4 linked regions of the Notamacropus eugenii genome follow. The protein of the gene in region 1 interacts with the protein of each later gene in a biochemical or structural test. Links are inferred from orthologs where the notes say so. Each region holds a gene or a part of one and is shown in the gene's direction. Other genes may lie near its edges. The genes, in order: TBP, BRF1, DRAP1 and AHR.

What was found.
Region 2: the proteins of TBP (region 1) and BRF1 form a complex in vitro, tested with the Homo sapiens proteins (2 studies listed by BioGRID). The link is inferred for Notamacropus eugenii from reciprocal best matches to the Homo sapiens genes TBP and BRF1.
Region 3: the proteins of TBP (region 1) and DRAP1 are reported together in a solved structure, tested with the Homo sapiens proteins (2 studies listed by BioGRID, with this or other methods). The link is inferred for Notamacropus eugenii from reciprocal best matches to the Homo sapiens genes TBP and DRAP1.
Region 4: the proteins of TBP (region 1) and AHR form a complex in vitro, tested with the Homo sapiens proteins (2 studies listed by BioGRID). The link is inferred for Notamacropus eugenii from reciprocal best matches to the Homo sapiens genes TBP and AHR.

Annotation. Positions count from the first base shown.
Region 1 is NC_092873.1:267,361,451-267,368,359, forward strand, and holds the start of TBP (TATA-box-binding protein), read left to right. Parts: upstream 1-3,889; 5' UTR 3,890-4,108; intron 4,109-4,222; exon of another isoform or gene 4,223-4,602; intron 4,603-5,380; exon of another isoform or gene 5,381-5,472; intron 5,473-6,909. UniProt on the Homo sapiens protein: The TFIID basal transcription factor complex plays a major role in the initiation of RNA polymerase II (Pol II)-dependent transcription.
Region 2 is NC_092872.1:334,325,324-334,332,657, forward strand, and holds the start of BRF1 (transcription factor IIIB 90 kDa subunit), read left to right. Parts: upstream 1-4,322; 5' UTR 4,323-4,790; coding exon 4,791-4,974; intron 4,975-7,334.
Region 3 is NC_092873.1:18,626,685-18,634,517, forward strand, and holds the start of DRAP1 (dr1-associated corepressor), read left to right. Parts: upstream 1-4,819; 5' UTR 4,820-5,046; coding exon 5,047-5,088; intron 5,089-5,436; coding exon 5,437-5,509; intron 5,510-6,838; coding exon 6,839-6,932; intron 6,933-7,309; coding exon 7,310-7,429; intron 7,430-7,833. Other genes in the region: C2H11orf68 (UPF0696 protein C11orf68 homolog), read right to left, coding at 3,007-3,754, 4,413-4,519. UniProt on the Homo sapiens protein: The association of the DR1/DRAP1 heterodimer with TBP results in a functional repression of both activated and basal transcription of class II genes.
Region 4 is NC_092874.1:10,118,001-10,125,388, forward strand, and holds the start of AHR (aryl hydrocarbon receptor), read left to right. Parts: upstream 1-4,368; 5' UTR 4,369-4,742; coding exon 4,743-4,810; intron 4,811-7,388. UniProt on the Homo sapiens protein: Ligand-activated transcription factor that enables cells to adapt to changing conditions by sensing compounds from the environment, diet, microbiome and cellular metabolism, and which plays important roles in development, immunity and cancer.

The DNA of each region.
Region 1 (6,909 bases):
TGGCCTTACCTGTTCTGGGAAGCTTTACTAGCTCAAACCATGTAAAAATACAGAACCGACCTCTGAGTCCTGCGTTCAAGTGCTGCCCTTAACAAGCACAAGCCCAGAGGCCTCCGCTGAAGAGCTGTCCTTGGAGAAAGGGAGTCCCGGGTTCAAGGTTCAGCCCTGGCACCTACTGACCTCTCCTGACGCTGGCTCTGGGAGCTCCCGGAGGAGCAAGCTCCCTCTACCGACGCAATCGCACCTTCTCACCTGTCTCCGGTGTTGGAGAGTTACCCAGACGATGGAGAGGTTCCCTCCCACCCCCCATTCTTGGATGAAGATGTGAGGTCCAGAGTGCCTTGCCCAGGGTCTGACTGGTAAGGAAGGGCAAAATTCGAACCCAGGCCCTCTGCCTCCAGATCCAGCTCGGAGCCTGCTGTTAAACTACAGCTTTCAAAACTCAAAAGTTTATAGAAGTGAATGTTGAAGACTAAAAACAAATAAATAAATTTTAAAAATAGATAAAGTACCAGCTTTCATCAGGAGCCAGCACTAAGGGTTGGTCTGTTTCACTCAACCCAACAATGGAATGGCCTGGCAGCCAAGACATTGTATTCTGCGAGTAAAGTGCACTTGGTGGGGAAAATGTTTAATAACTCTTCAGCGACTGAGCTGGTCCGGAACAGTGTACTTTTGGTTTTGGAGGGGTTTGTGCTTTTATTTCTCCGATATCTTCTTCATAAAAATATTCTTTTGTAAAAGCTAAAATAAATAAAGTACCAGCTTTGCCCTTGGATTGATTTGCTTAATTCCTCCCAGACTCAATTTTCTCCTCCATGAAACTGGGGAGGGTGAGAAGAGATGATCTTTGGGGTCCCTTCCAGTTCTAAAAAAGTTTGTGAAAATTACCATATTGGTACAAAATCATAAAGACCAACCTTGCTTCAAAAAGAACATATAAAAAGGCATTTCCTTGCCCCCTCCCCCCCCCCACACACATTCCTTTGCATTGGGGTAACTGATCAGTGAAGAATATTACATAAAATATCTGATTTTTTTATGTCAATTTTGCTGAATTTTTTTCTTTTCCTCTTTTAAAAAAGTGGTTATAAGGGGTAACTGGGGAGGGTGAGAAGCTGGACATTGTATAAAGAGATGAGAAGCAAGCAGCAGCAGTGTGGCTCAGATCCCAGGAGGAGAAAGGGGTCTCAGTTCTAGCTTCTAGCCCACCCTGAAACTTGCAGAGTAATAACCAAGGCAGGAATTCCAGAGCTAAGGCCAGCCTACAATTCTGTTACTCTCAACCAGCAGCATTTCTCAGATGGCTGATAATAGCTGAGTCCAGCAGTAATCTACTACTACCCACACCAGGAAGTTTCAGAGGTCAGACTAAGCAGGCAGCTATCAGACTTTGCACTGAATCAGACAATTTTAGGAGTATTGAAAACTCCAAGCCTGAGTTGTTCCTGAGATTATGAAGTAACACAACATTTCAATATGCCAAGAAAGTAGCAGTAGAAGCAGCTCAGATATTCCCTCCAAAAGTGTACAGATCTTGGCCCTAAAATTAAGTCTAAAGTCAGAAAGGAAGCTTGAAAAATAAACAAACAAAAATCCCATCATGAAGAGTTTTTATGGTGATAGGGATGCTGAAGACAAACTCAGAAGAAAATTACCTCAAAACAACTACAAAGAAAAATGCAGCATAGGCCAAAAAAAAATTTAACCAGAATTCCTGGAATAGATGAAGCATACAATGACAACAACATGGTAAAGACACACAGCTTTGAAAGAATTAAGGACGCTAATCAGTGTGATGACCAACTACAATTCCAGAGTACTAACAATTACGTATGCTCCTCACTTTCTGATAGAGAGATGAAGGGCTCAGAGTGCAGAATAAAACAAAGGTTTTTTGGATGTGGCCCATACAGCTATGTGTTTTGTTTGACTTTACATGTTTGTACCATGTAACAACTTGTTTGTAACAGCTTTCTTCCTTTCATCCTCAAAGAAGGAGAGAAGATGGAATTTTACTTGTTGAAAAAAAAGGAAATATAATTTTTTAAAAGCAATGTTCAATAGGCTATTGGCAATGCAAGATCAGAGATCAGGGCAATGAATGGCACTAGATATATAGGTCTGCAAGTCATCTGCATAGAAACTTGGTAATTTCACCAGTTCCCAAGGATTTAAACATCATCTCTCATAGAATATTTGAGTGTTTTATTATTTATGTCTAACTCTGAGTCCTTTGTGTATATTCAGTTTCTATTAAGGACATACAAAAACCGTTCCACATTTGATAACCAAGAGACGACCCTAAACATGATCCAAGTCTTAGCTTTGCTGGAAATTTCTAAATGGGAGCAAACCAATAGAGAAATCTGACTTGATCTGAGGTCAGCCCTCCTACCTTGATGAATCTAGTCAATTTAAACTGACTCCCATGTTGAGGGGAGGGAGAGATCTGAGTAAAGGATACAAAATATAAAAGAGTTTATCAATAAATACTTGGGGCTAGGGAAATTTGAATTAGAGCTATCCCATGAACAGTCCTCAGAACTGCCCTTCTTTCTGATTGACCAAGTTGTTGGACAGCAGTTTCAGTTGTGTCTGACCCTTTATGACCCTGTTTGGGTTTTTTGGTAAATGATTTGCCATTTCCTTCTCCAGCTCATTTTACAAATGAGGAAACTGAGGCAAACCAGGTTAAGTGACTTGTCCAGAGTCACACAGTTAGTATCTGAGGCTAGATTTGAAATTAGGTTTCCATGACTCTAGGCCTGGTGCCCTGTCATCTGAACCATCTAGCTGCCCTCTAGTTGACCAGAGTGGGGAACTTTGGGGTCTACTTCTGGTCATGGAGTAACTTGGCACTGAAATAACTAGGTATTCTGGATGACCTTGGAAGGGTTTCTTAGTTCTCTCCATGCCACCATGACAGAAGTAGGGGGTGAGATACCATATTAGTTAAAAGAAGAAACAGCTTCAGTGTCTTTGCTTCAACTCTTCCATTGGACAAGTAATAAGCTATCTCTAGATTCTTCATGAAGATGGTGGAGGAATAGGTTATGTTCTTTCTTCCCAATCCACCAACACTGCCACGTGAGCGTTTGACCGGGTCCCTGGCAGCCTTTTTCAAAGTGACCAAACGTTAACTTTGAGGTGGATGTGTCTAAGCTTGCCTACGATCATGTGAGTTTAGGAAGCCTTTAGCTTCTTTGCACGTAAAACTGGAACTGGCTGGCGGTCTCAGGGTAGAAAACTCTGGGGATCTTGGATAAGCTGACTACCAACAAAAGGCCCGGGCCAAGCCCATCTCTTTTGCCCCCAGATACCTACAGAGAACTGTTTTGTTGCTTATTCTATGAAAAGAAGTGGGGTGGAGCAGTGATTTCTTAATTTTATTTGTATAAAACCTGAATTGAGGCAATTACGCGCTTTTTATGGGATTTATTTTTATGTGTTAGTGTTTACTTAGGGATTTTTAACTTTTTGATTTCTTTTTTCCTTAATTTTATCTTCATAAAACCTTTACAATGGCAATTATTTACCTGATTATTTTATAAAAAGGAGGGGGTGGAGTAGTAATAAAGACATTTTAGGAGGGGTGTGGCTAACAAAAAGTTTGAAAACCACAGTCCCAGGCAAAGTGCACCCAGAGTGACAAGGGCCCCGCTCAACTGATGGGAATGGGTGCCGTGAACACGCGCCTCTCCAGAAAGACCCAAGTGCCACAAGTAGCGGCTATTCAAGCCTCGCTCCAGAGACCAAGGCTGCAGCACCACAAGAGCTAAGCTAGCTACCAGCTCCGCCCACACACCTCCCTAGCACCGCCCACTCCCAGTCACGTGGGAGCGTTTCCGGAAGTGATATGACTGCCCACACTGAACATGGCTATATAAGTCAATGGCCGCAGGCGAGAGTGAAGCTAAACGGAAAGATGGCGGAAGTGGCGTCACTCGGCGCGCCGGGAGGTTAGGAAGGCCGGGTAGGCTTGGGTCGCCGTGGCGGGCGGAGAGACTGCCTCCGGCCCGACCTCGGGTTTCACCTGCCGCGGCGGTGGCTTTAGAGACTCTAGGTATCATTCTTTTGATTTCTTCCCTCGCTGGAGAGTCAAGAGGTGGGGAAAGCTGAGGGAGTGGACTCGGTGGGGGCGGTCGAGGCGACGGCCGCCGTGTCGCGCGCGGGCTTCTTTTCGGGAAGTGGGGGATGGGAGGAGGGTTGGCTGGCGCGCGGGAGGCGGCTGGGGGGCGGGGGGCGCTGCAGGAACGACCGGAGGGAGGCGCGAGGTGCTCGGGGGTTCACGGCCGGAGCGCGCCGGGCCCTGGACGCGGCAGCCGCTGGCCGCTCGATCGGTCCCCCGGCCCAGGGCATTGTTGGGCTTGGGGCCGTTTCCCGGTAATTTCCTCCAAAGCTCGGGGAAAGTGCGGAGGGAAGATTGCGCACGTGCCGGTGACCCGTGGAAGAGGCGTGCCTGCGGCTCGCTGCAGGCGGACCTGGGTGATAACCTCGATAGGACCCGAGGGGTAACCTGGATTCCCCTGACTCCCGGCGTCTTGGTGACCCTGGACCAGTTTCAGTGCCCCGAGCAGCCCTCACACCTTTACGTTCTCTGTAGGTGATGGTTCGAGATGATGGCGTTTTCTGAACCTTTCTATACCCATGAAATCGCTGGGTCAGTCCACAAACCACTTACTAAGTGACTTCCTAGAGGTTGGGAACCGTGCTAAAAGGGGGCATAGGAAGGAAGATGGACTACAGCCCGTGCCTTTCAAACAGTGGGAGCCCCTCGGGGAAGACAGCACGGTCCTGTAAAAGTCCGTACGAGATGCAGACGGCAGTCAGGGTAACTTAGTAGCAGCGGGGAAGTCTCAGAGGGGGAGAGAAGGGAGAGCGTTCCAGTGGTGGGGGATTGCTAGTGCAGTTGCACGGAAAGGGGAGAACAGCAAGGTGGTCACTACAGCTGACCTCCAGAGCCTCTGCAGAAGCAAAATGTTTAGGAAGACTGGAAAGACAGAGGGCAGGTTTCGAAGAGTTTTAAATGAACAGGAATGTATATTTGATCCCAGCGGTAATAGAGAGTCACCGGAATTTATTGATTCAGAGACTGACATGGTTCCTAGCAGCTTGGTGGTTCAGTGGACTGGACCTGGAGGTTCAAATCTGGTCTAAGATTTGTGACCCTGGGCGAGTCAGTTAACTTCTGGTTGCCCAAATCCACCGGAGAAGGAAATAGCAAACCATTCCCGTATCTATAGTACTGGTGTGCTGTGTCCATGGGGTCATGAAGAAGCGGACATGGTCAGACTTGTGCTTTTAGGAAGATCACGTTGGCAGTTGTATGGAGAATGGAGAGATACCTGAGACGTTCCAATTTAGAAGGCTAGCGTAATTCATTCAATAGGGTGGTGGTTGTGTTAGTTGAGAGAAGAGGACAACATATAGAGGAGATAATATGAAGATAAAAGAGACAAGAAATGGAAGGTAGTTGGTTATGTGGGGTTGAATGACTGAGTAGCGAATGTGGTTGGTGTGACTGCTGTCCTCAGTAACAGGGAAGGTTCCGGAAGAAAAGTTGATTGGTGGGGGGAGAAGAAAGGTCTATTTTGGACTTTCTGAGTTTGAGATACCTATGGGATAGCCAATTTGAAATGTCCCGTAAACACTTCTTGAAGCAAGTGGAGCTTAAGAGAAAGAGGAGGGTCAAGTGTTTAGATCTGGGAGTCTTCTACAGTAATTGAATACATGGGAACTGATGAGATCAGCAAGTGAGAGAACAGAGTAATTAGTATTCCTCTGTCCTTTATTTTTCCTTCCTCCCTCTTAAAAAAGTTAGCCTACTTCAGAGGAGCTTGGCCTTATTCTAGATCCTCTCTAACCCTTTCTACTTGTCCAAATTAACTCTCGAACTGGAATGCTGAGGTGCAGGTATAGCGACATTAACATCCCGCTGGGGAACTGATAATTTTTTCAATATACTGTATAATTTAGGAAATAAATGCCACTTCCAAAACTCCATAATCTATGGGTCTTTAGTCTCTATGCTACTGTGATAGCCCAAGTTGAAACACTATCTTAAATTTCTCTATAGTTGTTAACAGATTTTCTCTTGTAGATGCAGAACTTAGCACATGGTAGGTAGGTACTTAGTAAACATTATTGATAGATCATGCTTGTTTGAGTTCTATCATTCACATACTATTAACTACTTCTTAAGTTGAGCCTTCCCCTTAAGAAATCTTTGATCACCAAGAACAGCTGATAAGTAAAATTTATTTTAAATGTTTATGTCTGTACATTTTTCACATATTCAGTTCATATTATATTCCATATCTACTACATGAAAAATACTGTACTAGAGACACATGAGGCAGCTAGGTGACTCAGTGGATGGAGTATTGGACCTGGAGTCAGGAAGTTGTTGTTCTTGTCGCTCTTCAGTCATGTCCCACTCTTCATGACCCCATGGACCATATCACTACAGGCTCCTTTAGTGCTACAGACCACTATCTCTCAAAGTTTGTCCAAGTTCATATTCATTGTTTCCATGACACTATTTATCTGTCTCATCCTCTGCTGTCCCCATTTTCTTTTGCCTCCCATCTTTCCCATCATGAGAGTCTTTTCTAGTAAGTTCTATCTTCTCATTATGTGACCCAGACTATTTAAGCTTAAGCTTCAATATTTGACCTTCCACTGAATAGCCTGAATTAATTTAAGTATTGACTGATTTGATTTCTGTGCTGTCCAAGAGCCTCTCAAAAGTCTTCTCCAGCAGCGCAATTTGAAAGTGTCAATTCTGAAGTGTTCAGCTTTTCTTATAGTCCAACTCTCAGAGCCATACATTACTACTGGAAAAATCATAGCTTTGACTATATGCACCTTTGTGGATAAGATGAAGTCTCTGCTTTTTTAGTATGT
Region 2 (7,334 bases), on another chromosome or scaffold:
CAAATCAGGCAGTCTAAGAGGCTTAGTTAGGTTCTGATTTCTCAGCTGTCATTTAAATTTCCCAATTATATCAACATAATAATTTGCTAAATTCTGTTACAGTGAAGTTATAGGTAATAAAATTGAAGTTTTCCCTTTTGTGGGACTTGAATCCTAAGAGAAGAATGAAATAAATGAATTCTTATCTTAAGAATTTAAATGATGGTGAAGTCAATGCCAATTTAGAAAAACACTCCTAACTTTAGTTTATAAGTCCATGTTGGTAAATATAAAATCATTAACCAGAAGGACTCATTTTACAAGTCAGCTCCTCATGGGATTTTTTTTAGATCCTCCCTTCAGCCTGTTGTTGGCCGTGTCTAAATCAAGTAAAAGATTTTGGTAAAGATAGAAACAACAAAAACAGAAGCACTCTAAAAACTTAAATTCTCCAAAGTATCAAGTAAACTATGGGTTAATAGGATCAGAGCCATAAGGTTTGAGCTAATTTTCACCACATGTTGGCAAAGCAAAGTTAAATTGACCACATTAAATTGCATTGACATCTGTTTTGCAAAAGATTTAACAGAAACATCTAAGAATTTCTACAAGAGATCTGAACCAGAGAAGCAGATCTACTAAGAGAAACTGCTTTGAGAATAGGCCCATTCCAGAATGCTTAAGATGAGAAGCTTCCAGAAAAACCTGATGATTATATTACATGTTTTTAGAAAGTAGACAGCTGCAAGAGATGTCTGAACCATAAGATAAGATGAATTGATGAAATGTACAGTGGGAATGGATTACTAAAAGACCAAATGTCACACTTTCCTCTCATTCCTTTCCCATGCATCACTGTTTTTATAAATTCTGCTTACTGAAGGAGATGGTTCACAATGGTTCCTGTCAATTGTTCAGGTCAATCTCTCTCTCTTTCACACACACCCCCACACACACATGCACACACTATTTCTATATTAGTAAAACACTTAAGTTTCATAATAACAGTCTTTGATGAAGTGTTTAGTGCTTTCTGGTCTTTTTGTATCCTGGTAAATCAAGTCTGAAATGTGGATATGTTGGATGTCATTTAATAATTGGCATATTAGCTAGTGATTCATTGAGCAAACCGCATTTCTCAGTGAATCAAAGGGGAAAACTAGAACAATTAATATTATGTTGTGTCATTTAATAATCAATATTACTCTGTTATTCAACCTATTCTTCATTTTGTCAAACCTCATTTCTCAGTCTAGTTCAAAACACAGTCTCTCTGAATTCCAACTAAAGGCTGGTTGAATATCCTCTGGGGCATTTGCTAGCTAACCAGTTTAAAGTCGGAGCCTTGCTTTGTTTACAGATAAACCAAGAATCAACTTAGGGGACTGTCCTTCCCTCTCCTTGTGAAATTTAGAGGTAATTTGATCTCCAAGAGGAAATCTAAATGGGGTGGAAGGAAAGGATCCTGATTGTGGTGGTTCTGGTTTTCTAGATTAGTAGAGGCAGCTGAGTCCCATAAATCAATTTGCATTCCCTAATTGTTAAAGAGGGGCTTGATCAGCACCTGAAGGTCAACACATCTTTCCCAAATGAAGACTAATTCTATAGTTTAGTCTCCCAGCCAGAAGGAGTTTAGGCAACACTTAATCCACCTCCTTATTAAAATATCTATTATTGGGATTGTTTTACCTTTGCCAGGGGAAGTCCACATGATGAACTGTCAGGCCAATCAGAAGGAAGACACACTTAGGTTTAAAAGACCCAATCAGGGTCTTTGCTCATTGAGAGGTCATTGACCTTATTCATTGGTTAATGCTAGCTTAACTCAGTATCATTTTATTAATCATATGTTGTTGTCAATTATTTTTCATTTGAGTCTGCCTATTTGCAAACCCTTAGGAGTTTTCTTGGCAAAGATACTGGAGTGGTTTGCCATTACCATCTCCAGCTCATTTTAGATGAGGAAAATGAAACAGAGGGTTAAGTGACTTGCCCAGGGTCATGCAGTTAGTACATGTCTAAGGCCAAATTTGAACTTTTGTACTTCAGACTCAGAACTTTATCCACTTTGCCACATAGCTTCCCCTTAGTGAATAAAAATATGAGATTTATTTTCCTCATCCAAGTTCAGTCCATGGACCCCCAGGTTAAAAACCCCTGATCTATAGGACAGAGAATGGAAGATGCCAAGGAGAATAACAGATCCTAGGGTAAAGAAGAATGGTGGGGAATAAAGGGGAATAAGAGAGAATGAAGAAAAGTTGAAGAGGAACTACAGTAGGGGTCTGGAGAGCAGAAGAGGAATAGAATTAGGATTTGGGGGTGGAAGAGAAACGAAGAGAGGGCTTGAAGAATGAAAATTATGAGTTGGAAAATGTAGGTAAGAGGTAGAGGAGAATGAGAATGGAGATGAGATGATCAGCATTGACTTTGAGAATGAGAATTATAGCTAGTAAAGAATGGGCATAGTAAAAATGAGAATACATTCTGGGAGGAGTCAGAATGACTTCAGACAGAAGGAGGGAGAGAAAGAATGAAGATAAAGGGAAGGAAAAGAGAAGGGAGAAAAGGCAATGGATGAGAAAATGAAGAAGCAGTGTGGGAGAATGGAATCAAAGGAAAAAGAGCATGTGGAGGACAATAATGAAGGCAAAGGAAACAAACTATAGCTCTAAATTTAGAGTGAGATAAATGAGGGGAAAGAATGGAACAAATCATCTGGGAGGGGGAAAGGGATGTGAAGGGAAAGGAAAGAGGAAAATAGGAGAATTCCTGTTTTTCTTCAAGGCTCAGCTCATTTGTAAAGTACCTTATTCGATTTTATTTTTAGTTCTAAATTCTCTCCTTCCCTCTACCTTTTGTCCTACTTGAGAAGGCAAGAAATACAAAACCCATTACAAATATGAAATTACGCAAAACAAATTTTTTCATTAGTCATGTTCTTAAAAAAGCAAGACAAACTTTACAAAATAGGCTTCAGTCTATACTCTGATTTCATCAGTTCTTTCTCTAGAGGAAGATAGCATTTTTCATTGTAATCTAAGCTCCTCATTGGTAGACATCAATGTCCTGAGTTTGTCTCAGGGGTGGGGAGGAGTTGGCTAGAGCAGGAGGAGGGAGGAGAGCTCTTGAGTCTTCTTGGAGTTGCTTCCTATAGTTTCAGGAATTTCTGATTTCCAGATCCAGAGAAAGATGGAAGATGCCAACCCCATTTCAGGTTCCTGAAGGAAAAGACTCTGAGAAGAAGCTGACACAAGAGGAGCTGGCAGTCTCCATCATATCCCCTCTCCCTAGCTTTCTTCACTAGGCTATAGCTCTCCATCTCTCTTTTAGTTATAGTTGGTCAATTGCAGTGCCCCTTTGCATTGCATTGTATAACAGGGGTGGGGAATCTGGGATTTCGAGGCCCCATGTAGCCCTTTAGGTCCTCAAGTCCAGCCCTTTGACTGAACCCAAACTTTACAGAACAAATCCCCTTAACAAAAGGATTCGTTCTGTAAAACTTGGACTCAGTATATGTTCTCTTATGTATACTTTCTTCGGCTCCTATTTTGCCAACGGGGGAGGGGAGAAGGGTGTCCTGCCTCTCCCCAAAAGTCATAAGTGATCAGAATTTAGATTGTACCGGAAAATCACATCCCTTAGACCAATAATATTTAAGTAAGCTGGAAGATATAATTCTAATCAGGGACCCTCTCTGTTTGGCCCCAACCACCTGAGTCTCCACCCGGGTAGGAATTAAAAGTCTCCCTTGGAGAAGGGTGCGGTGAAGAGATTAGAGAGGTCTATTCTGAATCCTTTAGAACTGTGGCGGATCTTTGTGTTGATCAGTTACTAAGCTTTTCCTAGTTGATTATCTTTAAATTTTTGCTGTAACTGTAAATTATTCTCTAAGTTCTCACTTCACTTTGCATCAGTTCATATAAGTCTTCCTGGGTGAAATCATCTCCATTTTTTAGGACACAACAGTATTTCATCACATTCAACAGCCCTAACTTGTTCATAAAGTGCTTTACGTTGCATCAGTTCATGCGGCGCTCAGAACAATCCCATGAAGGTGCTCTGGTCCCCATCGGAGGAGCCGCTCCGCCTGGTTTCCCTTGACATTCCTGCTGTCAGTGTTCTCCAAGGATTTCCTTCTCTGGCTCCGTGTCTGCATCCGCCAGCAGAACGCAAGGCCTCCGAAGGCAGAGTCGGCTTCGCTTCTTGAGGTTCGCAGCTCCCAGCAGCGATGCTGTGGCTCTGCAGAACATCTGAGCCGAGCGCGAGGGAAGAGGAAGAGGAAGAGGAGGAGGAGGAGGAGCAGGACGAGGAAGCGCATCCTCCACCGCCTTCGCCCCGTTAGGTCTCCTCCCCAGAGGCGGGACGCGAGCCAACGGGGCTCCTACTCGCTTACGACGCTAGGCGGCCGACCAGGGCTAGGAGGTGCCGAGAACTCGAGCCGAACCCGGCCGCTTCCCGGCTGAGATCCTAGTTCCTCCCGCCCCTAGCGTCCCGGAGCACGGCCCCACGCAGGCAGCGGCGCCGGCGGTTGGTGACGGTTCCGAGGGCGGTTCGCAGCTCCTCGCAGCGGCCCCTCTGCCTCGGGAGAGGAGAAAGAGAAGGGAGGAGGGAAGGAGGCAGAGGGGGCGGGACCGTTTGGCGCCGGCAGCATCGCGAGAGAAGAAAGAGGCCCAAACGGGACTTGGCTTCCTGGGCTGGAAGAGCTGGGGATCGGCACCGCGGGGCCCTCGGCTGGGGCACCGAGCGCTTACCTGGCCCGGGAGGGACCCGCCTGGGCTGGAGCGGCCGAGGGCCTGGTGGGGGTCACGATGACGGGCCGCGTGTGCCGGAGCTGCGGCGGCACAGACATCGAGCTCGACCCGGGCCGCGGCGATGCGGTCTGCACGGGCTGCGGTTCGGTGCTGGAGGACAACATCATCGTCTCCGAGGTGCAGTTCGTGGAGAACAGCGGCGGCGGCTCCTCCGCGGTGGGGCAGTTCGTCTCTCTGGACGGTGAGGAGCGTGGGGCGTACTGGCCGCAGCTGCCCAGGGGAGGCGGCTGGGACGGAATTTGGTCCGGATTTGACTGAGTTCTGGGGAGCCCGCCTGGCCAGGCCCCTACGGGAGGTGTGGGGCCCTGAGCCCTGAGCCCGGAGGGGCGGGCCCTGGCCTGAACTGACAGGTGGAGCTCCGGGGTCGTTTTCCTTTCTTTTTTTTTCTTTATTTTTTTAGTGGTGGGGAGGGAAGTGTGCGGTGGGTCCGAGAAGGGGTCTGGAAGTGCTAGGAGGGCCTGGGCTTCCTCTGGAGCTGACATGCCCCTGAGGAGAGGTGTCAGAGGAGGGGGAATAACCCCTGAGCTTGCCGAGCATCTGAGTTTTAATCGCGGAGCTGGAGGAGGGACCCTCCCAAAGCAGAGGGAAACCCAGTCCACAGAGAAAGATCACTAGACGGAACCCTAACTGCCGCTGTTGCACCTTAAAGCTTGCAAAGTGCTTATATACGCTATCGCATTTATTCTCAAATAATCTTGTGAGATGGATAACGACAGGAGTTATTATTTTTACCAGGCCCATTTTACAGATGAAGAAAATGAGGTTTAAGTTGAGTCTACTTGCCCACGTTAGAAAGATCACAGATAGCATTTGAACCTAGATTCTTCCAGACACCAGGTCCATAACTGTACTCGTTTTGCTATGCTGTTTTTACATCATTGCTTGACTCACGTGGAGGTAGGCAAAAATCACCTTCCACCAGGAGGCTGTAGAGCAGCATCTAAATACCGGGCAGTTTCTGTGTTCCAGGGTTTAACATTCTAGATAAAAGTAGATTTATGGAAGGGAATAGAGTGGAAACAGAGCCTTAGGCCTTGCTGCCCTTTAGGTTTGTTCAGAAAGAGAAAAAAAGGAAAAGTTATCCTTTTGTCTTCAAATCTTAGCATTACAAATGATCGAGGCCAACCTTTTATTTTACATAGCAGGAAACTAAGGTCCAGAGAGGAATGACTTCACAACCAGTAGTAGAACCAGAACTAGAGTCTAGATCTTATGACTGCTGATCTTACATTTTTGCTACATTGTGCTATCTTAAATAAAAGGCAGTTGAGCAGAAAAATGACAGCAGTTTTCTTGTATTTTTTCTTTTTATCACTTGTAAAATTCTTGAGTTTAATAAGAATTTTAAAAGTCAATGATATACTACAATTTCAAATTTTGTTGTTTTGCTACATGGTGTTTTGGTACAGCAGATACTTCCCAGGGAATAACCAAAGCAAGAATCATCAATAATTATTTTCCCCAAATCACCTAATATGATTAGGACCAATATTATATGCCATTTTACAGTGTTTGTGGTTACTGTATGTTCACAGAAAGGGAGGATGTGTGCTTCCCTCTTTAACTGGATATCGACATTGATTGGTGTACTTGACCTGGATTTTGTTGCTTACCTTAGTTTTGCTTTTTTTTATGAAGTGTTTTTATTTACATTGTTATAGATGTTGATATTGTTCTGTTGAATTTGCTTTTCTCACTCTTCTTACAAAGTCTTCCTGGGTTTAGGATCTTAGACCTAGAACTGGAAGAGAACCCAGAGACCATGTAATAGAAAGGTTTTAACCCGGGGTTCATGGACTCCTGAAAATCTGTTTTAGGGGGTCTGTGAACTTGGATGTGAAAAAAATTATATCTACAGTTTTCACTAAAATTTAAGTATTTTCAGTTATGAATTTAAAAAAATTATTTTATTTCATGAAATATTTCTCAATTAATTACATGTAAATTTTTTTTAAACAATCATTAAAAAAAATTTGGAGTTCCAAATTCTCTCCCTTTCTCCCCCTCTCCTCTGCCCTCCTTGAGAAAGCAAGCCATTTGATTTATATTATACATGTGAGGTCATGCAAAACATTTCCATATTAGCCATATCATGAAAGAAAACAATAAAAATAAAGTTAAAAAATGCTTCCATCTTCATTTAGAGTTCATTCTATTTCTGGAGGTGGATAGCATTTTTCATCATGGTTCCTTTGGAATTGTCTTGGATGAAACAATTCTAAAGCACTTATGATGAAAAATGACATCTATCACCAGAAAAAGAACTGATGGAATCTGAATGCAGATGAAAGCATACTATTTTTTTGCTTTTAAAATTTTTCTTCATTTTTTTTTTTTGGTCTGTTTTCTTTCAATATGACTAACATGGAAATATGTTTTGTATCACTGCACATGTATTTCAAATTGCTTGCCTTCTCAATGGTGAAGGAGAAAGGAGGGAGAGAATTTGGAACTTAAATTTGTTTTAAAATGAATGTTGAAAATTATAAAATAACAAAGCAATTTGCCTTGGATCATTGTCTTGATCAGAGTAGCTGTCTT
Region 3 (7,833 bases), about 250 Mb from region 1:
GTCTTTTGAATGAATTCCACCTTATGGTAGCAAAGATACTAAAAAATGGACAATTTCATTGCAGGAGCAGTTGGGGAAAGGTAGGCAAACTAATTTATTGCTAGTGAAACTGTCCAACTGCCCGGGGAGGTAGGGGGACGTAGAACTAAATTGTTTGTCCCCTTTGACCCTGAAATCCCACAACTGGGATGATACTTTCAGGAGGTTAATGACAGAAAAAAAAAATAACTCCTGATATGCCATAGCGTTGATGTAGCATTATTTGTGATAAACAAAGATATGCGCCCAACAGCTAGGGGCTAGTCTGTGAGTGTAAAGGAATATTCCTGTATTTTAAGGAATGCTGAATCTGAAAAATCCAGAGGATCACATGGAAAAAGGAAGTAATGTCAATGAAAGAAAATAGGGTCAAAATTGTGCCAATAGTGTCACTATGGAAAAGCAAAGAACTCACGGCCAGGATAGCTGTCAGAGTTTTCACCCTGCCACCAGTTAGGGGACACATCTCCCTGACTTTTCTGTGCTCAATCCAATGGGTTTTTGGGGAAGTGCACCAGCTTAAAAGGGTACAGTGAGGTACTCTGGGAAATATCTGTTCTGTACAAATGAAAGGGTATCAATAAAATTTAAAAATAAAAAAAAAATCACTCTTTGGCTTAGGGATCCCTCCAAAAGGGTCAGAAAAAAATGTATTATTCCAATCCTTCAAGGGCATGAGATTCCATTGGTGATGACTGGAAGGGGACTGTTATTTTCATTTTAAAGTTGCAGAAACTAAGGCAAACAGGGGTTGTGACTTGCCCAGAGTCACACAGTTAGCAAATGTCTGAGACTGAATTTAAACTCAGGTCTTCCTTCCTCCAGGTCCAGGGCTCTATCCATTACACTACCAAGCATCTCGAATGGCTCTTTGGGTGGCCTGTAATTTTGATGTTTTGGGAGATGACAGTTTTCCATGATATTCAGCCATACAGCTGAGTAGAAGCACTTTAAAGGCATTTAAAGAAAGGTGGGTGTTTTTGGTTGGTTTTAGTGAGAACCTTGGGGATCATTAAAAAGTACTGCACAATTTCCCAAATGAAAGTCAGCACCTTTACGGCATCCAACGTCTACCTAAGCACGTCAACCCAGACCACAGACAGGTTTCATCCACTTGGCTTTCCTGCCTAGATAGTTACTGTGTGTGCGCTCTTGAGGATGCCCAGCCAAATGCAGTTCAGTGCAGTCAGCAGACTCTGCCAAGGGGAGCATCTAGATTCTAGGAGATGCCATTCTCTCGAGGGAAGGGATCCTGGGGGGATGTGGCAAAGGCCTCTGTTGGGGAGCATCCATTTCTCATCATTCATCAGAGGCTCACTGAACCAAACAGGAGGACTCTACTATTTTCATCTTTCAAGGATCCCCATATGATTCTCACATGCAATGTTACAAATAAGCCAGGAGGTAACTTGAAATCTCCCCCAGCTCAGAACCCTCCCTTGGCTGTAACTGCCTCCCTCCTCCCCCTGCTTTGAGGCCTAACTCAGGGGCCTGGTCTTCAATGACTCCCAACAGGTGGGAACAAAATGGTTTATGAGAACACTGTCTGTGGAAATAGTGTAGAACAAAAGCTCCTTGAGGGCAGCAGGCTGTTCATTTTTCTTTTTATGCCCAGCATGGGGCATAGAGCCTCGTGCCCATTTCTGGGAACATAATAAATGCTTGTTGATTTAAATTAAGTTTTGCCCTGAGAGGCAGGAGAGAGGTTTGGATTGGAAGCTAGAAGACATAGGTTTGAGTCATGTGACCTCTGTGCCTCAGTTTCCTTATCTGTAAAATGGGGATACTCACTACGCTCCCTACAAGGCTGTTCTGGGGATCAAATGAGAATATACTGAAAGCTCTCTGTAAACTACTACGTGCCTAGAGGTACCACAAGGCAGCGAGCAAAGTTGTTGCAGGACTCAGTCAGTCAACAAGCATTTATTCAGGACTCACTAGGCACCAGGCACTGTGCTAAGTGCAGACAAAGGAAAGCTGTGGAGACAAAGAAAAGCAAAAAACAGCATCCCTCCCTCCAGGGGCTCACATTCAAATGGAAGAGACATCGTATTAATGACTGGGACACAAGATATATACAGTGTAAAGGAAAGGAAGGCAGTGAAGGTGCTGGGGAAGGCAGGAGGCAGAGGTTGAAGAAAGAGCACTGCAGGCACGGGGCACAACCAGGCTTTGCAAAGGCCTGGAGTTGGGAGGTGGTACCGCCTGTGCAAGAACAGACCAATACCTGGATTATGAGATTTGAGGGAAGGAATAAAGTGTCAGAAGACTGGCACTTGTGAGGGGCTTTCATGCCAGAGCATCATCAAGCTGATCCTGGAAGTGGTGGCTGAAAACCAGAAGCACACAGTCAGGCTTGTGGCTTCCTTGGTCCCAGCAAGCCTCCTAACCCCATTCCTCATCACATCAGAGCTGACCAGCTGCCACCTGGATCTGACAACCAGAGGAGCAGGAGGGAGGGGTGGGCTGAAAACAAAGGTGGGCTTTATTGAAGCCAGGGAAGGAATAGTAGAGGAACGGGTTGTAGGAACTGCAGGCAGAGCAGGGAGCAGCAGGCACCTACCCCACGGGCCCCCCCTGCTGGTGGCCCCGTCCACACTCAGGACTACCAATCCCAAGATGCAACACTCCACCAACTCCTAGGTGCTTTGCCATCCAGGGATGGGGTGGAGTAGCTCTAAGCAGGTGGAGGGAGCCCAGTCAAGGCTCTGGGCAAGTAACTGAAACTCTGAGGAACAGGGTCCCGTTGGCCCTCCATCGACTGGACCAACACAGGGAATAATGTCACGTCTCTGCCTCCCCTCCTTTCCTGAGGCCTGACATTGGTCCCCAAAGCCAGGAAGGCAGACCGCCCTGCCATGGGGACTGATTTAAGAGCCAGAGAGCTGCCCCAGAGGGCCGGAATGATTGTCTGTGCCTTCCCCACCCTAGATGTCTTGGCTCCCAGCACCCGAGTGCCCACCCCCCCTAAGTCAGTGCTGTGTTGTTGAGCCTGTCCAGGACTCGGGAGTAGTGGGGGTCACTCTCCAGGTGGTAGCTGCTCTCATAGAGGGTAGGGCAGAGGTGCCAGCGGTTAGCACGGTAGATTCCTAGGTAGGTGTAGACATCTGGCTTATAGGTCAGTGGGCACTTGACCCCAGCTGCCCGGATGGCGGCATCAGCCTTCAGCACTCCTTCCTGGTCTGTGAAGTCCTCTGTGTAGACACAGATGACCTGACGCTCCTCTTCCTGGGCCCGGGGGCTCACTTTGGCCACTTGTAGCTTCCCCTCCACCACAGCCCTGGCAATGCCAGCCCATGCATGGTCCAGCTTGAAGCCGGGGCTCAGGTGCATCAGCCACTTGCCGGTCAGGACCTGGTGAGTGAGGGCCAACTCCCGCAGAATAGCAGGTGTGATGGGCCGCCCGCTGGCCTGTAGGGCTTCCCAAGCCCCCTGCAGTCCCTGGACATCCCCAGCTCCAGGGGAGAAATCAGGCCCATACACTGCAATCCAGCCCACAGGCTTGGGATTGGGAGCGCTGGGGCCCCCATAGCGAGAGACACGAGAAGGAGGGTAGGCAGCCAGCCAGGAGTCCAGCTCACAAGGCGGGGTGCTGCGGGCATCGAAGACCAGCCAGGGGTCCATGTCGGCTGCCATGGCCTCAGCAGCCAGATGCTCGGCCGTGAAGCCATCCTCCTGGCCCCCAGGGGGGATCTCTTCCTCCGGCAGCTCCATCCTGCGGGGAGGAGGAAAGGTGAGGCCCCGGAACCCCCACCTGCGAGCTGGGTGCCTGCAGCAGGGTCAAGAACCCCTCCCCCTGTAAAGGATGTCCCTTGCAGTGCCATCCTACCATCCCGCTCTTTGTGGCCCTTTAGGGACAGAGGGCGGGGTGTCCCAGTGGGTGGAGCGCCGGCTCGAGGCTGGGAAGCCCCGAGTTCAAATGCGGACACTCACGTGGCTGCTCCCTGTCCCGGTATCCCCGTCAGTAAATCGGGATGATGCTAGCCCCTGCCCCTCCCCAGGGGGTGGGGAGACCCGAATGAATGAACGCAGGGAAAGCGCACGGCAACCCCCGCTCGGCCCTGGCTGCTAGAGGACGATCCCAATCACTAAGCCCCCGCCCCCAGCTCTTAAAGGAGAGAAGCCCTCGGATGGATCCCAGCCAAGTCGCCAGCTCGCCTTCGGGGAGCCACAGTCGGCCCCGCCCCTCCGGCTCCTCCGAGCCCCGCCTCCCCTCCCCCGCCAGAGGAGGCGCTCGCCGCCGCTCGCCTCTTCCCCGCCCCTCCCCCCGGCCTTGGCCCCTCCCGGCTCCCGTACACGCCCCGCCACGGCCGCTGCCCTGGCCCGAGTCTCCGGTCTCGCGACCCCGCTGCCTGCCCTCAAGAGCCAGTCACCTCCGCCTCTCGCTCCTCTCCGTGCCAACCCGGCCTGGCCCCCGCTCTCTCCGGGGCTCTTCTCCGCCGCGGGCCCTCCGCTCCGCCCACCCTACGGCCGCCGCCATCTTGGGCCGCCTGCCGCCTCAACAACAACTTTATCGGCAACCGCCGGCCGCGGTCGTGGACAGCCAGGACAGAGGGGGCGGGGGGACGGGGGAGCGAAACTCCTCCGGACGTGGCAGAGGACGCGACCAATGGGAAGCAGGGCCCCTCCGCGGAGGCGTGAACTCGCGGAGGGCGGGGCCGTTGAAGGCGTTCCTCCCGCAGCAGGGAGGCGGGGCGAACGTCGTCCTCCGCGGGTCTGTAGGAGGAGAGGTGCCGGAGCGAAGCGGCCGCGAGGAGCGAGGCGGGGCGGAGCGTCCGCGGTGGCGGGGGCGCTAGGACCCGGAGGAGCGAGCGGCGGCTCGGCGCTAGGACCCGGAGGCGCCGGAGAGGCCCGGCGCTAGGACCCGGGTGGGGCCGCAGCCGGAGCCGGAGGAGCCGCGGCGGCGGAGCCCGAGGAGCCCGAGGAGCCGGGGCCGGAGCCGGGCCGGGGCCGGAGGGCCGAGGCCGAGGTGCGGCGAGAGCAGCGGCGGCAGCAGGAGGCCACGAGATGCCGAGCAAAAAGAAGAAATACAACGCGCGCTTCCCACCGGTGAGGACCCGGCCCCCGCGGCCGCCCCCAGCCCCGGCCCCGTCTGGGCCCTCCTGGCCCGGCCCGTAGCCGCCCCCTCCCTCGGGTCCCACCCCGCCCCGCCCAGGGATCCCGGGGGCCCCTCCCCCAGCTCCTCCCCACCCTGGGACCCCCGCCCCGGCCCCTGCCCCTCCCCCGGCTCTCGCTCCACACCTGGGCCCCCAGCGGTCCCCGCTCCCGTCCCCGCTGCACCACCGGGCCGCCCTCTCCCCCGGCCCAGCGCCCGGACATCCTTCGATGATGGAGGTTCCGGAGGGGGGTGCCCTGGTACCCCTCCTCGAAGCTGATCTCTGCCTCCCCCACCCCAAGGCCAGAATCAAGAAGATCATGCAGACGGACGAGGAGATCGGCAAGGTGGCGGCGGCTGTGCCAGTCATCATCTGTATCCTGGGCCGCCGGGGAGGATCGGGGACAGTGGGGCTGGGGCTAGGAGGTCGAGGGCAGAGGGGCTGGGGGCTCAGGAGGCCGGGGACGGTGGGGCTGGGGCTAGGAGGTCGAGGGCAGAGGGGCTGGGGGCTCAGGAGGCTGGGGACAGTGGGGCTGGGGCTAGGAGGTCGAGGGCAGAGGGGCTGGGGGCTCAGGAGGCCGGGGACGGTGGGGCTGGGGCTAGGAGGTCGAGGGCAGAGGGGCTGGGGGCTCAGGAGGCTGGGGACAGTGGGGCTGGGGCTAGGAGGTCGAGGGCAGAGGGGCTGGGGGCTCAGGAGGCTGGGGACAGTGGGGCTGGGGCTAGGAGGTCGAGGGCAGAGGGGCTGGGGGCTCAGGAGGTTGAGGGCAGAGGGGTTGGGGGCTCAGGAGGTCAGGTACGGTGGGGCTGGGGGCTAGGAGGTCGAGGACAGAGGGGCTGGGGGCTCAGGAGGCCGGGGACGGTGGGGCTGGGGCTAGGAGGTCGAGGGCAGAGGGGCTGGGGGCTCAGGAGGCTGGGGACAGTGGGGCTGGGGCTAGGAGGTCGAGGGCAGAGGGGCTGGGGGCTCAGGAGGTTGAGGGCAGAGGGGTTGGGGGCTCAGGAGGTCAGGTATGGTGGGGCTGGGGGCTAGGAGGTCGAGGACAGAGGGGCTGGGGGCTCAGGAGGCCGGGGACGGTGGGGCTGGGGCTAGGAGGTCGAGGGCAGAGGGGCTGGGGGCTCAGGAGGCTGGGGACAGTGGGGCTGGGGCTAGGAGGTCGAGGGCAGAGGGGCTGGGGGCTCAGGAGGTTGAGGGCAGAGGGGCTGGGGGCTCAGGAGGTTGAGGGCAGAGGGGTTGGGGGCTCAGGAGGTTGAGAACAGAGGGGTTGGGGGCTCAGGAGGCCGGGGACGGTGGGGCTGGGGGCTAGGAGATCGAGGACAGAGGGGCTGGGGGCTCAGGAGGTTGAGAACAGAGGGGTTGGGGGCTCAAGAGGCCGGGGACGGTGGGGCTAGGGACTCAGGAGGTTGAGGGCAGAGGGGCTGGGGGCTCAGGAGGCTGGGGACAGTGGGGCTGGGGGCTCAGGAGGCTGGGGACAGTGGGGCTGGGGCTAGGAGGTCGAGGGCAGAGGGGTTGGGGGCTCAGAAGGCCGGGGACGGTGGGGCTGGGGCTAGGAGGTCGAGGGCAGAGGGGCTGGGGGCTCAGGAGGTTGAGGGCAGAGGGGCTGGGGGCTCAGGTGGCCGGGGACAGTGGGGCTGGGGGCTCAGGAAGCCAGGGTTGAGGGGCTCAGGGCTCCGTCAGGCTTCCCTGATTTTTCTTGACCAGCTCCTCAGCCAGGGCATTAGAACTGTTTTTGGAATCCCTTCTCAAGAAAGCCTGTCAAGTGACCCAGTCTCGGAATGCCAAGACCATGACCACTTGTCACCTGTGAGTCCTGCCAGGGAGGCCCCACTCTGCTCCCCAACTCTGGCTTCCCCCTTGGTCCCATAGGACACATTTCCATTCTCCTTCTTGCCCCACCCTCACCCTTTCCCTCTGCCTCCCTCACCTTTGAAAAGATCATCTGATTCAGAATCAAAAGACCCACATTGGAATCTCTGTTCTGCCCCTGACCTCAGCCAAACCTGTTCTGGGCCTCAGTTTTCTCTGCTGTAAAATTAGGGGGTTAAATTAGAAAGCTCCTAAGGCCCCTTCCAGTTCTTCATCCCAAGAGCTTCTGTTGCCCTTCAGTTCCCCCCACCCCCAAGTCCCCCTTCCTTTGGAGCCTGAAGGAGGAGCTCAGCCCCTGTTATCTCCCATCCTAGGAAACAATGTATTGAATTGGAGCAGAAGTTTGATTTCTTGAAGGACCTGGTTGCCGCCGTGCCCGACATGCAGGGAGATGGAGAAGACAATCACCTGGATGGGGAGAAAGGAACCCGAAGGTAAGGGGCTACAGTAGGACATTCCCCCATTCTCCTCTGACCCACCCTAGCAAGGTGTTGTGTTTCAGAGAAAATATTTCCAAAATCTAACCAGCACCATATACAAAGTGGAACAGTCACAAAATATTTATTCAGCTTGCTATCGTGTGCCAGGCACTGTGAAGCCCCAGATCTCTCTGTCTGTCTCTGTTCATCTCAGGGCATCCCCCCACCCCACCTCCTCCCAAAGAAATGTCCCATAAAACAGATAACATTTTTAAAGAGACAAAATCAGCAGACGCGATCAAATCTTACAAGTCTGGGAACCTACAGCACTCCAGACCTGTGCACCTCTGCCTCGGTGAAGGGAGGAAAGGGGGAGGGAGGCTTCCTTTCTTTATGGTTTCACTGAAGTCCGGCCAGTT
Region 4 (7,388 bases), on another chromosome or scaffold:
GGGGTGGGGCAGAAAACAGAACCAAGCATGGAGGGCTCCTCCCTTCCAGCATGCCTCCTGAATCCACCTTACCATGATCTTCCCTTTGGGGGCATGTCTGAATCCACTGAGGCTGTGCTCTCAGGTCAGTAATAAACATTAATTAAGCACCTACTATATGATAGATGCTTTGCCAGGCTCTAGTAAGACAAAGGAAAAGACAGTTTCTGCCCTTGAGAAGCTCAGAATCTCATGCCCATCCCCTATCCTTACCACTGGCTCTGCTGCAGCACCCAAAGTGCTCATGGGATGTTTTCTCTGCCCTGTAGCTAGACCCTCCTAGTGTGTCTTCTATTCCAACTGGAATGTGAGCCCCCTGAGAAGAGGCATTGTCTTACCTTTCTAGTTCTGTCCCCAGAACTTAGCAGAGTGCTTTGCATATAGTAAGGGATTGTAAGTACAGCATATAGTAAGGGATGCCTTCATTCACTCACTCATTCATTCATTCATTCATTCATTCATTCATTCATTCATGTATTCATTCATCATATTAATGGATACAAAACCATCATTTCATAACCCCACTTACATTTGGTCCATTTCACAGCCATAGACAACACTTATACCAATATTCAGGTTCCTTGACATGTTTCCACAGCTCAAGAAGAAGAAAGAATGTTGATGGATTAATATAAATACATCATTGCCTTTGTGCAGGTGGGAATGGGGGAAATGAGCGCCAGCCTCGAAAAGATCAACATCGAGAGGATATCAGATGAACAGCAGCATAGCAATGTAAGTCCTGAACTTGGAATGAGGTAGAACTGGGTTCAAATGAGCCTCAGGAGCTAAATGCTATCATACCCATTCTACAGAAGAGAAAACTCAGTCAAATGAAATCGCACAATGATACAGAGCCTGGACTGGAGCCAGGAAGAGCTGAGTTCAAATCCAGTTTTAGATACTCATTAGCTGTGTGACCCTGAGCAAGTCACTAAACCTCTATTTGTCTCTGTTTCCTCAGCTGTCAAGTGGAAATAACAATACCACCTTAACTAGAAGGTAGGTTTCTGGAGGGCAGAGCTTTGTCTTCATTCAGCTTTGAGTACGGTGCTTAGCCTACATTAAATGATTAAAAATAAACATTTATTGTTTATCCATTGTGTACATGTATATGTGTATCCATTCATTCTCTCCTGGAGTGTTCCAATTTTCTTCCCTTGGATCCTTCCCCTGAAGGCCTCCCTACTTCCTTCTTTCCTTTTTTTTTAGTAAGTTTTTTACTGATGTCTGTTTTTTTCTTTACATCACCATCATTTCTCCCAATATTCTTGCTCCTCTCAGAGAGCTATTTCACATAGCAAATGACATTTAAGATTTCTTTTTTTTTTTTTTTTTGCAAATAGCAATTTTTAAATGCTAAAAATAAGAAAGGAAAAAATCAGCACAACTGACCAATAAATTGAAGAAGTCTGAAAATAAGTGCAATGTACAACACTTTGGACCTCCCATCTCTTCAAAGGGGTCTGATTCTCTTCTCATATTTCTTCCTTCAAGCCAGGTTTGTTCTTTTTAATGGTGAAAATTTGACTCCTGATTTTTGGTGTGGTTGTTTTTCCATTTACATTGCTGTAGTCATCATATCTATTATTTTCTTGACTCTGCTTAATTCATTTTGCATCAGTTCATGTAGATCTGTTCATGCTTCTCTATATTCATCACATTTGTCATTTCTTACAGCACAGTCATCTTCCATTACATTTATGTTCCACAATTTGTTTAGCCATTCTCCAATCAAGAGGTATTTACACATTTCCAACTCTTTATCCTCCCCCCAAACAAAAGTGTTGCTACAAATATGTTGGTTTCTCTGGGGATTTTTTTCTTATCAGTTACATTCTTTTCTTATAAAAACAACTAACCAATCGGAAAACAAAAACCAAAAACAACGTTGGCCCTTGAAGTTACTACCTCCTGTTTCTATCACCACCAAAGTTTCCATAGGAGTAATTTCCATTTGATAATTTCACTTTTGCAGCACCCACTCACATGCTTGTCTTCTTTCAAATCTATCTACCACGACCACTCTATTGAAACTTCCCCTGAAGGCCACAAAATGAGCTGACTCCTGTTCTGCCACACATAGAATCATCAGAAGTCATCCACTGTAACCAGTTTCCCCTCCCATACACTTGACAAGTGGTTGGTCAGCCTTTAGAGGAAGACACCCATTGAGGGGGAGTCCATTACAAACAGAGCCCTTTGACCTTGGACAGCTCCGTCAGGAAGGCTGTCCTGCTCCCAAGACTAAATGTGCCTTGTAGTGACTTTCACCCTTTCTATTATTTGGAGCCACGCAGAACAAGTCTAGTATTGTAAGGGCTCACCATCTAATGGGGAGAAAACATGCAAACCTCTATGAACAAACTATAGATGGGCAAATTCCTCCTCTGTGAAATACTTCAAAACAAATCTCAAATGCCCCAAACCCTCTCTTCTCTGGGTTTAAGACTTCTTTTCAGAAGGCATGTACTTGAGATGGTAAGTTTGAGTGGCAAGAGGGCTGAATTTGGAGCTCAGGGATCTGAGGCACGAAGTTCTGCCACTTACAGGTTGTGTGACCTTGGGTAAGTCACTTAGTCCAATGGGGTCTCAGTTTGCTTATTTGTCAAATTAGGGCATCAGCCTAGATAACCTCTAAGTTTCCTTCCCCATTGTGGTGCTCTCTTTTGGGTGTTCTCCATCTCATTAATGTATTTTCTAAAATGCTGTGCACAGTAATAGCTTTGCCAGCCTCCATCAGTCCTAACTTTCTGAAGCTGATGGCACCACTGAGTTATCCTCTCATGCACCACCACTCTCTTCCCCCCAGCTCATCTTGGCTTTCTGTCATCTCTCTGCTGGGTGCAGTTCTGTCCCCTGCAGGTCTTTCTTCCCCATAGGATCTAAAGGTGGGTTTCCCCTATGGCTATGTCCCCACAACTTTTCTCTTTTCTTTACATTTGTCATCCAGTACCACAGCATTCACTGACACCTCTGTGGCACTAATGTTCCCCTCTATGTAGCTGACAAGGGTCTCAACCTCGACATCTCTTGTACCTCTGGCCTGGATCAACTTCACAGGAATGAGATGAGGGAATCTGGTCAGACTGCAATTCTCCAGAAAGAGGCTACAAGCAGGCATTAACAATGGGATATGGGCCTGGTTTTTATCTTTTTTTCTTTAAGAAAAAATACAGTCTTATGGCCTCCTAGAATAATGAGGTGATTGACGTGGGCAGATGACAGCGGCACTATTGTGTTCAGTCCTGAGTGGGACAGTTTAGGGAGTGCATTGCTAAGACCTGGTAGGAGGAATGCTTTTATTAAAACCCTCCTCTCCTGCATACCTGCTAAGCTTCGGCAAGACATCGCTACTCTAGCAGTGTCTAAAGGGAACTCAGCACCGCTGCAGGTGGTTTTCTTTTTGTTTTGTTTTCACTTCTTTCAGTTTTAGGACTTAGCCATTAATGATCAGATTCACAAATCAAACCTGCACAAAGCACTGAATAGAGGAGGGGAATGAAGTGGAGAGGGAGAGGATACATTCCCAAGGTCATGAGAGAACTGGGAGGAAATGGCAGATCCTACACTGGCACCCGGGTCCAAGACTAGAGTTGCCCTCCTCTTCTTCCTCGAGATCCAGGAATCCCTGGTGCCCCTGCAGACTGCTCAGGAACCACCTCTCAGGTGCAGCCGTCTCCAGATGCTCCGCATCTCAGCTGTTAAGGAAGGCGAGATGTAGAAAACAAGCTTGGACTGTCACCACAATGGGGATGCGGGCATCGCGGGACTGCGAGGCTGGACTGGTGCTCAGGGAACCTAGGCACCTGGGGTCAGCGTGGAGCTACCAGCTGTGCGCTGACAGCCTGCCCTGAAGACCCACTCCCCGGGCCCAGGCAATCAGGGCACGGTGTAGAGTGGAAGCGCCTTGAGGGCCGGGGCTGTTGGCCGCCAGGACTTTGCACGCACTGAGCCCAGCTGGAGAGGCTCCATTTCACGGAGGGGAAACTGAGGCTCAGGGCCATTGACCACTGACCAGAAAGTGGACCCAGAGGGTGTGTGAGCACACGTCCGGGGGGCTTCGGGCCGAGTGCCGAGCTGCCTTCTAGCAGCCAAGGAGACAACTGCAGCATCCTTGGCGGGGAGGGAGGGGGGAACGCATAGCTTCGCTCCCGACCTTATCAAGATGGCGCCGGAAGAGGGACAGCACGTCTACCGCCGTGACGCAAGCAATAGGGGTGGGGCCGGGGGGGGGGGTAGAGCCCCGAGTGCGGGGGCGGGGCCTGGGAGGGCGGGGCGCGAAGGGGCGGGGCCGGAGGGTGCGGCTGTCAGGCTGCTTGGAGGTGGCCGGGAGGGGACGGAGCGCTCAGGGTGACTCGTCTGAGGCGGCGGCAGCAGTAGCAGCCTCGGCGGCGGCCCCAAGGTCCCGGGCGGGCGGCAGGAGCCGAGGAAGGCCCTGAGGCGGAGGACTCGCGCGGGCCCCCTGCCGTGCCCTCTGGGGGGGGCCCCCTCCCACCACCCCCCCCCGGGTGTAGCTGGGCTCGCGGGGGCTCTGGGCGCTCGGGGGGCTGAAGAGCGGAGCCCTGTGCGCCTGCGTCCAGGCGCCCGCCCCCCCCGCTGCGCGCGCTCGCCCGCAGCCTTCGCCTCACCTGCGGCCGCGCGCTCGTCACCTGCGGCCGCCCGGAGCCCGCGCGCAGCCCGCACCCCGCGGGGCCGGCGCCATGAGCGGCGCGGGCGGCGCCCACATCACCTACGCCAGCCGCAAGCGAAGGAAGCCGGTGCAGAAAACGTAAGCGTCCCTGGCCGCCCGGGACCGAGCGGGGTCGGCCCGCGGTCCGTGCCCGCCCCCTGCCCCTCTCCCGATCGGTGCCCCTGGCACACACGCACGCACCCTGACGGCTCTTCTCCCCCGAGAATCGAAGAGCCAGGGGCCGCGGGCTCCCCGGGGCGCGCTCTGTCGGGGGCCCTTCTCACTGAGCCCGGTGGGAGCGCGGGCTCCGAGCCCCGACAGCTTCCGCGGAGTTTCTTGGGGCGCGCGGCCAGTGGGGCCAAACATGTGCTGGGCGGCTTCTGGAGCTCCCCGCGGTGCCCACACCCCACCCCGGGCTGTCGCCTCACTTTCGTGGGTGGGAAATAGTAGAGGCAGCGGGCACCTGGGTGCGGGAGCTCACCTAAGCCGGCCCGAGTATGGGCACCGCAGGCGGGTCCTGGAGCGCTGGGTATGTTTGTAGCAAATTGTATCCAAACCTCCACACCCCTCCCCCCGCAAGTGTAATGGAAAGACTCTCACTGTGAAATCTACAAACTGGATACAGTGGCGAGTTGGGGGGGGGGGGTCTTTCTTTTCCTGAACTTGAGAATTTTCCAGGGGCTCTCTGTTCAGAGTACAAAAGAACAGATTTCTTTACATGTTGTTGAAAATAGTAATTTTAGAGTGGTGAGGAATTCGCAGTCTGGAAATTCCCTCCAGCAATGTACATCTCTAACTCATTGTAACTTGTGGGCTTGGAGAGTTAGCTGGATTTTTGCGAAGGGGTGAGTTGGCCGGGAGATCGCAGCTAGTATTTAGGAGAGAGGTGATTTGAAAGTCTGTTTTCCTGAGTTCAGGCTCGGCCCTCTCCTTGCAAGCACACCTTGGGTGATTCAAGTATACAGATGTATAAAAGTTCTTTTTAAAAAAAAAAAAAGTCTCTCTTACATCTAACATTCATTCTTAGAGTTAGCTGTATTCCTATATTTTCATTTGTTAGTATTAATATATTTAGGTCACTTACATTTTCAAATACTGATAAGGAGGATTACAGTGGATTTCGCAACCATACTTTGTAAAATTGGAAGTGTTCCTTGTGCACAAACATTCAAAAAGAGTTGCACGCCGATGATTTGAAGTAGCTCGAAGTAACTAACTTCAAAGAAGTTTCTTTGAACATGAAATAGCCCATTTAAGTTTTAAAAATTTCCTCTTTGGTCTCGGTGATCTTACTTCTTTAGAGTTAACTCTGAAAAACCTAAATTGACGTTAGCATATGAACTCCATAGTTGTGCCATAAATAGGCACTAATTAAAATGGCATGCACTAACTTTGACAGCAGCATCTTTAGACAGTGTGCATTACATGAGGTTTTTAGCTGAGGCTGGGATTTCCTGCCTGGATTGAGAGTATTGTAAATTGATGATTGGAAGAGTAGTTGCATTGATAACTCAAACAAAAGCAAACACTTTGCATCTTGTAAGATATTTTGTATTTCAAAAATGTGCTTGTAGATTTTAGATTTTATTTATGAATGATGCTTAAATTGTTGATATGTGCACAGTCCCTGTTCATATGTTTATTAATAGAGTAGATGGAAAGTGTGGAAGTATTCTAGATTCCATAGATCCTTTGGTTATTTTTCTATGTGTCAGATCACAGGATAAAGCTCGTAAAATAATCATTAATAAAATACTTATTATTCTTTTAGGCAAGTTTTTAAAAATATGATAAAGTGATATTTTTATATTTTGCTATTTAATATTCTTTTTGTTATGCCATCTGAGAAACAAAGTTAGTTCTGAAGTTATTAGAAACCTGTGTTTAATTCTGAAAGAAAAGACTCGGTATGGAACATTCGGTCATCTTTGGTCCATAGAGATCACACTGTTTATGTTGTATTCCAGATAGGACAAGTGAGACGATAGGAAGAATGGAATGGATTAGGACCCTTTGCCCACTTCACCTCCCCATTTCTCCAACTTCTTTATTACTAAGGGAGGATTTGCTGCAGTTATCCAGTCTCTAACATCACAAATACCTCCAGGCCGATGGTTACTGCATGATCCACTTGGGCAGTAGGAAGGACAGGGTCCTGGTATGCAGGGGACCCTTTGGCTGCAGGACAGGGTGTGGGCACTGGACATGCTTAAAGAAAAGCCACCAGTCAGAGTCTTATTCAGTGCCCATTGGAGGGAGAGAAGATAATCATTTCACTGACTTTATTCTCATTTTAAAGATGACTACAAATCACCAGGTCATTAAAACTAGAGGAGAGGGCTCACCCTACACAGAAATTCTTGGGGGACACGTCCTAAAACTTGTTCCAAAAACTCTCTGGTCAATTTGGTTTCAGTGCATTAAGCACTTAAGTCTTAAACTCAAAAATCTTTTTCCTGAGTCTTTCTTTCTAAGGGTACCAGAGTTTTGTGGTTGATGGATTGATGGTTCCCTCCAGAGAGCACTCTCTGCATAGCTCTCTCTGTACTGTCTTTTAGGACCTCAGATCAGACTCGACTGAGGATATGAGTAAGTTTTAGAACTTTTTTGGAGAAGTTTAATGACTTTGAATATACAGCAGCTCTCATTTTAATATACTCCTAGTGAAAGCATTTTG